3 linked regions of the Macaca fascicularis genome follow. The protein of the gene in region 1 purifies or fractionates together with the protein of each later gene. This does not show direct contact. Links are inferred from orthologs where the notes say so. Each region holds a gene or a part of one and is shown on either strand. Other genes may lie near its edges.

Region 1 (4,593 bases):
TCTTAACCTTACTGACGATGCTTTCAATACAAATCTAATAACAACGGCAGCTAACATTTATCATGTGCTCAAATTAAGTCATTTCATCTCCCCAACAATCCTATCAGGTAGGACTGTCATCTTCATCTCCTGAGCTTTGGAATCACATTAGGCAGCCTGGCTTCAGAGTCCAGCACTTTTTGTGTTTTTGTTTTTGTTTGGACAGGATCGCATTCTGTCTCCCAAGCTGGAGTGCAGTGGTGTGATCACACAGCCCACTGCAGCCTTGACCTACTGGGCTCAAGCAATCCTCCAGCTGCAGCCTCCTAGTAGCACTATAGGCACGCCATCATACCTGGCTAATTTAAAAAAACTTTTTTTTTTGTAGAGATGGGTCTCCCTATGTTCTCTAGGCTTAACTCGGAACTCCTGGCCTCAAGCGATCCTCCCACCCCGGCTTCCCAAACTGCTGGGACTGCAGACGTGAGCCACTGCTCTTAAACGCCCAGCTCTTAAGCACGCAGTACACCACGTTTAGCTGGAGAGACGCCAAGTCACTTCTTGGGCCATACCCTTCTCATCACAAACTCAGGTTTCTCTTACAAACCACCCTTAGTGCCTGCAGTGCCCAGGACTCCTGCCTTGGTTCCTGGGGCCCACGCGAAGGTGACTTAACTTACCTAGATGGAACCAGCCCAATGGTGTCCCTCTGAACACCGTGAACTTTCACCCCGGCTGAGCAGTAAGTCTGCACCGCTCTCCCTTTCTTTGCGGCCTCAGGGCTGACCCAAAGTGACAGCCCTTTTTACTTACTCTTCCTTTTTACTTACTTTCCTAAGTAGTAGTGCGAGTATTTTTTTTTTTTGACGCGGAGTCTTGCTCTGTTGCCCAGGCTGGAGTGCAGTGGCGCGATCTCGGCTTACTGCGACCTCTGCCTCCCGGGTTCAAGCAATTCTCACACCTCAGCCTCCCTCGTGGCTGGGATTACAGGCGCACACCACCACACCTGGCTAATTTTTGTATGTTTTTTTAGTAGAGATGGGGAGTCACCATGTTGGCCAGGCTGGTCTCGAACTCCTGACCTTGTGATCCGCCCGCCTCAGCCTTCCAAAGTGCTGGGATTACAGGCGTGACCCACGGTCCCCGGCCCTGGTATTCCTAAAAGACGTAGGACCCCACGAATCCCTGCAGGCGAGGACGTAAACTGGACTGCTGAGCCCGCCCCAGAGCTCCCGCGCTAGTGCGAGAGGCTGGGACACTGCCAGGTGCATACAGCCGCGGCCTGGCGCAGGCGGAGCGGGCAGATGGGGTGCCGTGGACAGACGCGGGAGCGGCGCAGGCCCCGCCGGTCCGGACGCGGAGGGCGGGGCACGAGCGCAGCAGGAAGGGGGCGTGGCCAGGAGCAGGCCCGGCCGCTCCCCCGCCCCTCCCCCTCTGCTCTCCGCCCCAGCCTGGCAGCTCCGCCCTCTGCGTGACGTCACTGGCCAGGCCAGCCGGCGCCATTTTGAAAGTGGAGTCGCCTACCCCTGCCGCTGCCGCCGCCGCCGTCGCTGTCGTAGCCGCCGCTGCCGCTGCCGGAGAAAGAGCACGAGCGGGGAAGCCCCAGAGTGAAATCTAGCATCCTGCCGGCTGGTCTGCCCGCCCCTCCTTCCTTTTCCCCCGGCCCCCGTCCCCTCCCCCCGCAGGTGCCATCCGCCGCCATCCGCCCTCTCTACCCCCCCATCCCCAGGTGAGGGGGGTGAGTTCAGGAAGCGGAGACCCCGAGGAACCCAGCAGGGTCACCATTTGCAGCGCAACATGGCAGGTAAAGGAGAAATCCCCCTCGCCCCCTGACAAGGCACCGCTTCCTCCTTTTTCCCTCCATCACCCCCTAGCGACCGCCCGCGCCTCGCGCGGAGCCATAGGACGCCCCTCGGGTTTGAGGGAGTAGGGTCCAGAGGGGTGGGGTGGGGGCGGGGAGGGCTCCCAGGAGGCAAGTGGTCACAGTGAGAGTCACTGGGCTTGGAGAACGGGGCTGGCGCCGTGGCGGTGGTGGGGGTGGGGTGTGCCGGCGAGCTTGGGGTGAGGCGTGGGTGGGGCGGGGTGGGGGCGCGTGCAGATTTGTCCCTCCCGCTCGGGAGCCTGGTGGATCCTCTCCCACCTCCCCACCTCGCCCCTCGCCTTTTTTTTTTTTTCCTGCAGGTCTTCATTTAATTTGTATTTTTTCCCCTGCTGCAAGTCTTCTTGGGTGTATATACACATTTATTTTGCACCGAGAAGGAAGAGCGCTTTACAAGTTAAAATACAATGGGGGCATATGTGTATTTTTCCCCCCACTGTGGATGCCAGTATTTTTGAGACTGGAAGCCTAAATTTTTTGTTTCGAACCATTTCGTTTCCGTTTCTTCCCTCTTACCGCCGAAGAGTGCAAGGCCTTTCATGTACAGCAAGTTGCATGAAAATAATTTAAACTTTCCGTTTAGTATGTTAGCTTTTTTGCAGATGTCCTTTTCCCAAAAGGGTTTGGTAGAGTTAGTTAAAATAGTTGCGGAGTTCAGAGATATAAATAGCTAGGAGGAGAGAGATTTAGGTAGAAGCTTTGAAAGGGAGGGGAAAGGATGTAGAGAGAAAATCAGTTTAGGAATAAATTTAGCAAGGAATAGGGGTGATAGGGGAGAGAGAAGTAATGTAATTGCTTTGAGAATTCTTTTTGTACATGTTGGTGTTGCTAAATCTTTTCCTTCATGTAGTAGAATCAATTCCGGATTTAGATTCAGTTTCTTTCTCCCTAGAGCCCCAGGACATTTTCACGATTTCGACCTCAGTACTTGCACGTGAAATAGAAACATTCCGCGATGAGACCAGTTTTCCGTGCTATTATATTCATTATTTAGATAATTAAACCTTTTGAAAAAGTTAACGTGTCGGATTGACTTGTTTGCTATAAATAAGTTGCTTGTTGGCCTTGTTGAATAATGAAATGAGATTAAAATTGTTTTGCACGAGATGACATGTTAGCGAAATGAATTCTTTGCCAGGTCCTTTGGAGTCGAGAGATGAGGTGAAGGGAGGCAGAACAAGCTTCCTTTGACAGTCTCTTTAGCAGCATTCATTTCGGTTTCTTTTCCTCTCTGTCTGGAGCCAGTGATTTGCTGGTAATGAATGCAAAGAAATGGGTGTAGTGTTTGCTGTGTGTGCACTTTGGTGATAGGGTTCATATGAATCATTACTTCTTACCCAGGCAGTAATGTTCCCGAAGTTTTCTCTTCGTTCTATGTTTCATGGTAGTTAACCTTATTAATTCTTCTGCAGGCTTTTTGTACACTTAAAAAGAAAACTCTTTAACTCTTGGTATTTACTTTTTTTCTGGTAGGTCTTGCCTGAATGTAAGGCTTTTACTGTATTTGAGAGGAGGTTTGTGAACAGATGTATAATGACCGTAGATCATGTGCCTTTAAATAATTTCATACCTGGAATGTTTGTTTTTTTCTTTTTAGTACAGTACCAACTATTGGGGTCTCATCTTTTTCCAAACTGGTACTCTTGGTGGTAGTTGTATGTGTGGGCAGAACTAGGCTGTTAGTATCATGCCAACCATGGATACCATCTCTGTGTTTACGAGAGTCAACATAAGCAGAACTCGGTTTTAATTGGTATGTTTTATTTTTCCAGGAGCTGGAGGAGGGAATGATATTCAGTGGTGTTTTTCTCAGGTGAAAGGAGCAGTAGATGATGATGTAGCAGAAGGTAAGAAAGCGTTTAATAATGCAAATTTTGGATATGTAATTTTTTCAGAAATGTTTCCTACTGAGGGATTTCCTTGAAGCCGAAACTACTATAAATTCAAGATGATTTTGTGTTTATTGTCCAAGAAATGTAAGAACAGTTTTAAAAGTTACCTTTCTGAGAAACAGCCTTAAATTTCATTTATTTATGCCTTGTTTTTATTATTTTTTCCTCTGAATTTATATGAAAGGTGATGAGACATACAAAATCCTCACGTGAAAGCTGTGAGCTGCATTTAAGGGTTTCTTTGTTATGTAAATTCCACATACAAATAAATGGCGATGCGTTTTTATGTTTGTACATTGTTTTAGATAAGTAAATTGAAATAGGTGCCATCAGCATTTGGTTCAGAAACATTCTTAACAGCGTCTTTGATTTTTATGGGAAGATTTTTAACTACTTTTGAATTTGTCCACTTTGGGAGTGTGATGCTGATTGGCATATTCTGTGAAGAAATGATAGCTCAGGTTATTCGTTTTGTTGTCTTTCTAGTATTTAGGTGGATAAGACAGTAACAATGCTATGCATATATTGCTTGTCTTCTAGGAAGCGTTATTCTTGTGCAGGTAGAAACTGTGTTTGATCAGTTGAAGTGCTTAACGTCTAATTTTCTCCCCATATTTGTTTACTAATGTGTTTCAGAAGTTTAAGTTTTGGAACTTCAAGGTTTTGCATTCATTTGAGATGGTCTTAGGCAGCAGAGGCATTTCCCACAAAGTTGTTGCATTGTTTCATTCCTCAGAAATGTTGACGTTTTTTAATGGTATTGTGTGTCTTGAATTACAGTAGGAATTTTCCAAACAAAACTCATAAATTTAAACATGTACTTTTGAATTTTAAAAATTTGGT
Region 2 (4,568 bases), on another chromosome or scaffold:
GCAGGAAAGTCACTACCTCAAAACTGCCTTAGTAATCTTTAAACAGCTTGGATAAGAGTAATTCCCAGATTGTAGCTTCAGTCCTCAACCTAATGGCCTAATGTCCTATCACTGCTCCAAACCAATACTTCTTTTCTCACTAAACTGCCTACGATGCAAAAAGGCAGGTTCACCCACTGTCCTTTTTCCCTTCGAGGCAGTCTTGTAGAGATTCAATATCCAGTTTCCTGATCTGCCCTCGGTCCCCAGTTTGACTGTTCTCACTGCAGCTAACATCCCCTACTCGGTGAGCCTGTGTCTCCTCGAGGTGTTAACCTGATAAGGACTCTCTGCTGTACACTCTTTCACGATCTCAGGTCCTTCAGGAGAACCTCATGCCCTTACCCCCACTTCAATCCTATCACACTTGTCATTCCCCACTCTTCCCCGCTCTATACTCTACAATTATTTTTTCCCCAACTCCTGCTCATAGCCAGTCCTTCATGCTTCATTCATTCAACAAACATTTACCGAGTCCTGCTTTGTACTAATCCTTGGTCATTCAGTAATGTATAAAACGTGATTCTTGTCCACAATCACACAAGAAATGATATCATCCCTTTGCCAATTTATGTTTCTTCCTGTCCCTGCGGACCTCTAAAGCTACTCGCACACATACATTTCACTTCGTTATCAAAACCAATCCTATTATTGTTTGCTCTTCTCCTCTACAGTCATCCCACCGGTAACCTTCATCTCATTAATCACCACTTTGTGGCCCCTACCCCAGCCCCTAATTCCTTTCTATTCTCTGGAGGGCCAATTGCCCTTCCTTTTAACCTTCTGGTCCCCTGGCTATTTCCCTTCTTACGTCCCTTTTCTTGTTTATCCAGCGGGGGTGGGGGTCTCCCTAAAATTCCTTACACCCTGCTCCCCTGTTAACGCTTTCCTCAATCTTTGATCGCTCGGGTTACCTCTTTTTTTGCGCCCACGGCTGCCCCCAGGCCCTTGGCCTTTACGTTGCTTCATGATGAGCCCGAGCTCTTCTTCATCAGCACAACTCTGTCTCCACCACCTAAGCAGCCGCCTCCCGCCATCCCTCCCCACGGCGCCTGCGTTCCCCGGCAACCGGCGCCGCTGGGCAGCCTGGGAGGCAGGAAAAAGCCACTCTTCCTCTAACAGTCTCCGGAAAACAGTGGGAAGAGAAGGCGCCAAGACGCCTTCCCGCCAATAGACTACAATACCCAGGATGCTTTGCTACAATACCTCTGCGGGGTTGGCTGGGGGCGCCTCCGGCTGCGCAAGCGCATACGGATACGCCCGTTGAGGACTCCATTGCCCAGGGTGCATTGCCCTGAAGACGGCTCCTCTTTCCGGTGAAAGTTGTCGGGTTTCCAGTTGGGAGTCTGCGGAGTTCGCAGACTCTGTTACCCAGCTTCCTTTGTGTGAGGGCTGTTGCGCACTTCCGGTGGAAGTGCTGAAGCGAGTGGGTGGAGTTTGCAGAGCCGGTGGGCGGTAGGCGGTGCTACCGGTAGCTGGGTGCTGTCCAAAGGCGACTGGGCGTCGTTAGGGGAGCGAGTCGTGACCGGTTGGGCCACACTCAACGTGGGACGAAGGTTCGCCTACTGTTTGACTACGTGCGTGCAGCCTTTCCTTGATGTCGGCCCTCGAAAAGAGCATGCACCTCGGCCGCCTTCCCTCTCGCCCACCTCTACCCGGCAGTGGGGGCAGTCAGAGCGGAGCCAAGATGCGAATGGGGTACGTGACCCATACTCCTACCTAGGGGCCAGGCCCCGGCCATTGGAGAATGGTGGCTCTGAGCGTTCAGAGAGGCACGGGGAAGGAGTCTACCGATAGGAGAAAATGTTGGCGGCGGCCTGGAGATATTTAGATGGAGTAGAAGGCAGATTGGGGAACTAGGGGAGGCGCCAAGTCAATAGAAACTGGAGGAAAAATAATGTTGTTGGAGGGAGAGGGGAATGAGGCAAAGGTTGGGGAAGCTGAGAGACTAACATAACTGAGAATCACCTCCAGAATGAAGGAGGTTTAGAAAAAGGTGACAAAGGTGGAGGAAAATCGGCCAGGGAAGGTGGAGGGAAATGGGGAATGACCGAGAGAAAAGTTGAGGGGAATTGAGGCAACAACTAAGAAAAGGTTTGGGAGGAGTGGATATTGTAAAAGTTCTAATATGTATACTGTGAGAACTAGATAGTAGAAAAGCTTAGGGAGTTGGACAGGGTTGGAGAACGAAAGAGGAGCACTAGGAAGCAGACGATTCTAGATAATTCCCAGAGGTCTAAAGACAGTCAGGGAATGAGAGGTGAGATTAGGCCTCTTAAGGGAGAATGAGAAAGTTTGGGGAGTAGGCCTAAGGTAAGGTGGAGAATATAGCCATGAAGATTGTTAAGGGTAATAGGAATGTGCTGAGAAGCTGGACAGGATAAGGGAGAGAGAAGAAGGAGAGGACTGAAGAATTTGCAAAGTGACCATAGGCTCTAAAGATTGAGAAATAACTATAAATGCGGTTTGGTGAATGGAAGTGCTGCAGTTGTAAGGTCTGGGAAGCTTAGAGGAAGATTTGGGCAATCAGTTTTTGCGGGGCTAATAGATCTGAGGGAAGCAATGTACTGGCCTAAGACTTTGAATTAGTGAAGCATTGGGAGTTAGGGAAACAGTTTGCTGGAAAGAGAGGAGAGCCATGTTGAAGAGATAGGCTTTGGAATTTTAGATCATTAAATGGCTTGTGCCAGGTTAGGGGATACTTGGGCCGAGGACAAAGAATGAGGTGAACATGGGATAATTGCTGGAAAGTGGAGACAATTGAATAGGCATTTGGTTTTGAGGGGATATTTGTAGTTTCAGACAGGATTCTGGGAATTAGTGACTGTAAAGAGAAAAGGAGTAGGAAGGATACTTAGGTATGAGGACTCAAGAGTATATTTGGGATTCTAGAGATGAATTGATAAATATTCTTTGAAAAAGGACTACAGAAGAGAAACCTTAGGTTCTGAAGAAGTAATGTGTGTAAAAACTTACCAAAAGAAGCGAGAATAGGAGATGCAGTACTGTGACAGTAAGTCCTAGGGATGAAAAGAAAGGAGAATCCTATAAAACAGTGGGGTAAAGGAATGGGAAGAACAAGTGGAAAAACCAGGGAAGGAAACTAAGAATTGAAGTGGAGACCTGCTGTGATATACAGTAGAAAAAGGAGAAAACCTTAGCAGGGGGAGATAGAGAGATGGACGCACAATAGAGGAGGTAGAAGGCTACATAGAAGGTAAAGTGAAGATTATTTTGACTTTGGAAGATCGAAAAGTTGGACTATAACATGAATAAAGAGAATTTGGAAACTGACCCATAACATTATTTGGGAAAATTAACCTGGAGTTTAATATTAATGTAACATTAATTGTTATATATCTTCATTGCTGCCTTTCTTAAACTACAATTTGATCTTTCAGTATACCAGCACTCTTCTATACAAATACATAAGAAAATCAGATTTTTAATAATTATACATTCTTTAGATAAGTTTAATTAGGGCTCAGCTTCTCATTTTGTCAAAACAAGTTCTCTGAAGATTGAAGAACTGGGTGAAAATACTGAGAGAAAATAAAAGGAAAATCTGCTGATTAGAAGATTGTATAATTGTTAGTAATTCATCGTTTTTATTTTGTATTACTTTTCATTTTATTTTTTTTAGAGACAGGGTCTCGCTGTGTTGCCCAGGCTGGAGTGCAGTGGCACAATCTTGGCTCACTGCAACTTCTACCTCCTGGGTTCAAGTGATTCATGTGCCTCAGCCTCCCAAGTAGCTGGGATTACCGGCGTGCACCACCATGCCCGGCTAATTTTTGTATTTTTAGTAGAGATGGGATTTCACCATGTTGGCCAGGCTGGTCTTGAACTCCTGGCCTCAAGTGATTTGCCCCACTTGGCTTCCCAAAGTACTGGGATTATAGGATTGAGCTACCATGCCTGGACAACTTACCTTTTTAAATAGATGCTTTGGTCTTCTTGGTTTAGGGTAACTGCTTATCCTGGAAAAGAAAGTTCTTTAGAAAGGCCTTTCTGTATGGTAGTATTGTGAAGAAAATTCACAAAAATATGGTAGTATTGGTGAATATTTGTGTGGTCCTCAAATGGCTTATTTTCCCGTATTTTTCTTTTCTACTTTATTGGTACATAAGCAGGCTTCATCTAAGTCTCATGGTAGTAATAATGCAGATTCTCTTTCTCCTTAGAATCATAAAGCTGAAAGAGAGCATAGACATGGATCATTTCACCACTTCATCATGTAGTTGAGGAACTGAATATTCAGAGAGTTCTGTATTCTGTAAGGGAATGTATTAATAAATGAGGGAACTGAGACTCAAATATTCCTAAAGCACCCTAGAAGCTTAGCGGTGGGGCTGTTAAGGACTAGGACTTGGGTCTCTTGACTGTGAGACCCATTGTGTATTTTGAAGTCATAATTGTCATCTGGGAATACTTAATTTGAGTTGTGTATCTTACTCCTTTGCATATAATATAGGATTCAGTCTTTTTCTTCAGTCAGTTGTAATTTATGAAGTCTCACACCAATTTCA
Region 3 (4,824 bases), on another chromosome or scaffold:
GTAGGATTCTATTGATCCGAACCTTCAGGACAGGCAAAGTTAATGGAAGTTGTGAAAACACAGAAGGGTAGCCACCATCCGGGTGGGAAATGCTACAAGGGGCCAGAGGGAATCCTCCAGAATGATGGAGATTCTCTCGCCCCTTGTAGCACTTGCGTAACCCAGGGACCTGCGTAGATGTGCCTGGGTTATACAAGTCCTACAAGGGACGAGAGAGAATCTCCATCATCCTCCACTGCATCTCATCCCATCCACAGATCCCATTCTGGTACCATGAGAATATTCCTGTTCAGTCACTTCAAATCATTGCTGTCCAATGTTCCAAATCTCCAGCAGCTAATTCTGTGTTGTACCCAATATTTTAAAATGCTAACAAGTTTATTACTATTAATACAAAAAGGAGTAAAGCTCACAGGTGTTTTTTACAGTCGCGTGACCCCTAAGAGCTGTCACCCACAACGTGCGTTCAGGGGTGAAGAGGATAAGGTTGGGCCCGGAGAAGCTGGCCTGTGAGGATCACCCTGAATTGGGCCATATCTGTGTTTGGGACAAAGTCACCAAGAGCATCATCTTGACCAGCCCTGAGGGATGCCTGGGCTGGGCCCAGCTCCCTGAGGGCCTCCAGTGTGACTCTGGCCTGAGGCTGCTTAACTCCTTCTAATATGGAAGGAAGGGCCCTATACCATACGGGCGGGGCTGTGGAGCCTAGCTCCCTGCTCAATTTTTTTTTTTTTTAAGAAGGAGTCTCATTCTGTCCCCCAGGCTGGAGTGCAGTGATGCAATCTCAGTTCACTGCAACCTCCACCTCCCAGGTTCAAGCGATTCTCCTGCCTCAGCCTCCTGAGTAGCTGGGACTACAGGCACGTGGCACCACACCTGGCTAATTTTTGTATTTTTTGCAGAGACGGGGTTTCACCATGTTGTCCAGGCTGATCTCCAACTCCTGACCTCAGGCAATCCGACCACCTCAGCCTCCCAAAGTGTTGGATTACAAGTGTGAGCCACCATGCCTGACCCCCTGCTCAGTTTTGAAGCTCCTTCTACACATCTAGGTAAATGCCTAAAATCCCACCAACTCCACAGGGTGTCAACGGGACAGCCAAGTCGTTCACCCCTCAGTCAACTCCCAGCACCGCCCTTAGGCTTCTAAACCAAGCATCAACCAGAAAGAGAAAAACCAAGAGGGTCAGACAGACTGAAGATATGTCTGACATGGCAGGTGGGACAGCCTACAGGCCACTAGGGACAGAGTAAACTAAGCCCACGGAGGCAGAGGCCAGCAGAGAGCAGCCCCGCAGTGCTACTCAGGCAAGCAGAGTACAGCTGAGGGACCGGCCCTTCACTACAGCAGCAGCCGCCACACCTTCGTGGCTGAGCAATCCCATGAGGCTGGCTGAAAATGCAGATTCCCAGATTCTGACCAATAGGGCTGGGACTGCTGGGGACAGACTCAACTCTGACCTAACCTGTCACCTTCACAGCTGGACTTGCAGCCACTTCGAAGTTTCGGGTTAAGCAAATTATCAACAATTTCCATTTCTCACACATCAGATAAGCTTTGAAATACTCTATCGGAAAAACAGGAAGAAGAGGAGCAAGGTCTTCAGTCTTGAGATCTACTGAGTGGGAGCTCCACCTTCCACTACAGTCTGCTGGAGGCTGTTCCTGAACAATTACTGATACGTTAATTTCAGGGGTTATTTTTGTTTTGTTTTGTTTTTGAGACGGAGTCTTGCTCTGTCGTCCAGGCTGGAGAACCTCCGCCTTCCGGGTTCAAGTGATTCTTCTGCCTCAGCCTCCCGTGTAGCTAGGATTACGATTACAGGCATGCGCCATCACGCCCAGCTAATTTTTGTATTTTTAGTAGAGACGGGGTTTCACCATGTTGGCCAGCTGGTCTCGAACTGGGGACCTCAGGTGATCCACCCGCCTAGGCCTCCTCCCAAAGTGCTGGTAAGTGTGAGCTACCGCGCCCAGCTAATTTCAGGTACTTTTGTTACTTGGAACGATACACCTTCCTTTCCCTGAAAACATGTTCCAATGGCAAGTTGAGGGAAACTTCCTGGCCCCTTTTCTAAGATAAAGCCTACCACTCTTCCTAGAAAAAGGGTGTAACTCACTTTGTGTTGATTTCCACCCTAATTATAAAACATGGTGACACTTGAAAATAGAGTGGTTGTACGTAGAAAGTTTATAAAACCTAAGTTTTGGGAACAGGCGATGTTTTTCTGTGGCTCACTTTGAGAGAACGGTTATCTGGGTCCTGCCGTCTCGTGAGTCCCACACGAAGGCCACAGGAGAGGCGAGGCAGCGGAGACCCTCTATTCCAGCAAGCTGTACGAGCCTTTGTCACGACGATCCTGTTTACTGGACGAGAAGCGTTTGAAAACGCGCAGGGAAGCTTGCCTCTGACTTCTGCAAATGTCTCGGGGACTCTTCCTAATCCCACCTCGGAACGCCGGAGGAGCCCAGGAAAGACGGCGCTGGCCGACCCGCCCGGGGTCTGGGCCTCCTCCCACATCCTCGGCCCTCTCCGCGGCCGGGATCCAATTGAGGGGGCTGCAGCGCGCCCTGGCCCGGTTAGTGAGGTCGGCCCGGGACAGGGCGGGGGCGGCCGTGGCGGGGCGCGCCCGGCGTTCCCTCCGCGGCAACTAGAGCCGAGGTACAGGAAACGCCGCTGCGTACCCCAGCCGGGCCCTCGCGAAGTCGCTCCCGTGTGGGGCCGCCCGGAGGCCTCGACGAAGCCCCAGCTCCGCAATCCGCATGGAACGCAGACGGCGGCCCGGGCCCCTCTGGTTCCCCGGGCCCCCTCAGCAGCGGCCACCCCGCGGTGGAACCAGCGCCCAGGAGGGCGGCGAGGGCGCCCGCGGCAGCCCCAGCGGGAACCCTGAGCGCCGCCTCCGCCCCGGACCCAAGCCAGCGCCAGGAGCCACAGACTCCGCGCACCGCCCCCGGGCTCCTCCGCGCCCGGCAGCACAAACGCGCGCGCCGCCGTAGACGCCCTCGCGGTCAGCCAGACCCGCTCACCTGACCCGCGAGGCCGCCCGCCGGCTCCTCTGCTCAGCCGCCGCCACCGCCGCCGCCACCAGCTTCCCGCCGCTGAGGGAGGAGCGCCCGCCGGCGCGGGGCGGGGCGTGCGACCGCCACTCAGCGTCCACAAAGGGTCGACGCTGCGCCCTCCGCGCGCCGTGCCCACTGATTGGCCACCCACGGACCGGGGGCGGGGCCTCTTGTTCAAACCCGCGCGGGCGGGGCATCTGCGGCGCGTGTTCCCGCGCTGCGGCGACGGCCGTTGGGGCTCGCGCGCGCCCTCGGTCGCCCCGCCCCCGCCTCCGCCTCCGCGCCGGGCCCCGCGACGCCCACGCCGCGCCGGCTCCCAGGTCTCCCCGCGCCCAATCCGGCCCCGCCCAGCCCCGCCGGCTCGCAGGTCTCCGCACGTCTGGTCCTAAACTGAATGCGCCTGCGCTGGGGGCCCACGTGGTGCCCTCGGGAGGGCGTGGCGGGGCAGCCTGGTAGGGGCTGATCCTCTCTCGCTTCTGCCTAGGTTAACTTCTCTGCCGAGGGATCCGTGCCGGGGTGGGGAGGAGCCGGGAACGGCAGTTCCCGGGCGGCCTGGGCTCCGAAGTCTATCCCAGCCTCTCCAGAAACCGCGGTTATCTCTAGAGGCTTCCCAGGTTTACACGTAAGAAATGTAACGTGAAAGTAGAAAGCAGGGAAACACGTGTTTTAAATCTCTTAGTGGAAAAGGTTTTAAATAGGATACAAGAGTCTAATATTCTTTGAACGCCTGCAGCAGGCCCGGCAGGCGTGGCTGCAGCTGAGAACCCTGTGCTGGTGGTGGGGGAATCCTCAGCTGAATCCGCAGATGCGGATGCGCCAAGGTCAGTGGTTAATGCTGAAATGCTGTCGGAAAAAGCTGGGAGTGACGTTGGGGCGCTGCTCACATAGGTCTCTAGGATAAGAGGCGTCTTAAAGCACCAAAAGGAAGAGTGGAAGAGTATTCCAGGAGAGGAATGGCTAGGACAAAGCCCGAGGCAGGGGCAGGAAGAAGTCTCAGTGCAGTGAAAAAGAACCCTGTGATCTCGTGGGAAAGTTTAAATGTGAGAGGTGGAGTGATTTTGAGGCTGTTCTCTGAGTGGGATGGAGACTACTGGGACGGTCAGCAGAGAAGGAACTGGGATCTGAATTATGCTTGAAAAGAATCACTGTTCTTATTTAAAAAAAAAACAAAACGGGTTTATTTCGCCCATGCTGGAGGACAGTGGCGTGATAATGGCTCACTGTATCCTCGAACTCTTGTGCTCAAGTGATCCTCACGCCTCAGCTTCCCACGTAGCTGGGACTACAGAAGTGTGTGCCACCACACCAAGCTAACCTTTTTTTTTTTTTTTTTTTTTTTTGGTAATTTTGTAGAGACAGAGTATTGCCTTGTTACACAGGCTGGGCTCCAACTCCTGGCTCCAACTACCTTGGCCTCCCCAAGTTCTGGGATTACAGGCATGAGTCACTACAACCACCAAGAATCACTGTTGGTAGAAGATTTGGAGGAGGCGGCAGGAAGGCTGGAAGTAGAAAATCCTATTAGGTTATTTTCCAGGTAAAAGAAAATGGGACTTGACAAAGGTGACTACCTGAGACTTTAAAGTTTATGCATATCAAAGTGAAAAGACTAATGGGGAAAAAAGGTTTTCCTGGCTGTATCGCACATAAAGGTTAAATTCCTTAATATACAGATATTCTGCAAATGAAATCTAGATCACCAAAGAAAAGTGGTTTGGACATGGTGGCATCCACCTGTAATCCCAGCTACTCAGGAGGCTGGGG

What was found.
Region 2: the proteins of PPP2R2A (region 1) and PPME1 purify together in Homo sapiens (affinity purification with mass spectrometry; 3 studies listed by BioGRID and IntAct, with this or other methods). This does not show direct contact. The link is inferred for Macaca fascicularis from reciprocal best matches to the Homo sapiens genes PPP2R2A and PPME1.
Region 3: the proteins of PPP2R2A (region 1) and CDCA4 purify together in Homo sapiens (affinity purification with mass spectrometry; 4 studies listed by BioGRID and IntAct, with this or other methods). This does not show direct contact. The link is inferred for Macaca fascicularis from reciprocal best matches to the Homo sapiens genes PPP2R2A and CDCA4.

The regions. Positions count from the first base shown.
Region 1 is NC_088382.1:29,477,754-29,482,346, forward strand, and holds the start of PPP2R2A (serine/threonine-protein phosphatase 2A 55 kDa regulatory subunit B alpha isoform), read left to right. Parts: upstream 1-1,465; 5' UTR 1,466-1,776; coding exon 1,777-1,783; intron 1,784-3,630; coding exon 3,631-3,705; intron 3,706-4,593. UniProt on the Homo sapiens protein: Substrate-recognition subunit of protein phosphatase 2A (PP2A) that plays a key role in cell cycle by controlling mitosis entry and exit. Involved in chromosome clustering during late mitosis by mediating dephosphorylation of MKI67.
Region 2 is NC_088388.1:73,043,152-73,047,719, forward strand, and holds the start of PPME1 (protein phosphatase methylesterase 1), read left to right. Parts: upstream 1-1,467; 5' UTR 1,468-1,636; coding exon 1,637-1,737; intron 1,738-4,568. Other genes in the region: C2CD3 (C2 domain-containing protein 3), read right to left, coding at 954-1,008. UniProt on the Homo sapiens protein: Demethylates proteins that have been reversibly carboxymethylated. Demethylates PPP2CB (in vitro) and PPP2CA. Binding to PPP2CA displaces the manganese ion and inactivates the enzyme.
Region 3 is NC_088381.1:173,203,976-173,208,799, forward strand, and holds the start of CDCA4 (cell division cycle-associated protein 4), read right to left. Parts: upstream 3,102-4,824; 5' UTR 2,522-3,101; coding exon 2,240-2,521; intron 1-2,239. UniProt on the Homo sapiens protein: May participate in the regulation of cell proliferation through the E2F/RB pathway. May be involved in molecular regulation of hematopoietic stem cells and progenitor cell lineage commitment and differentiation.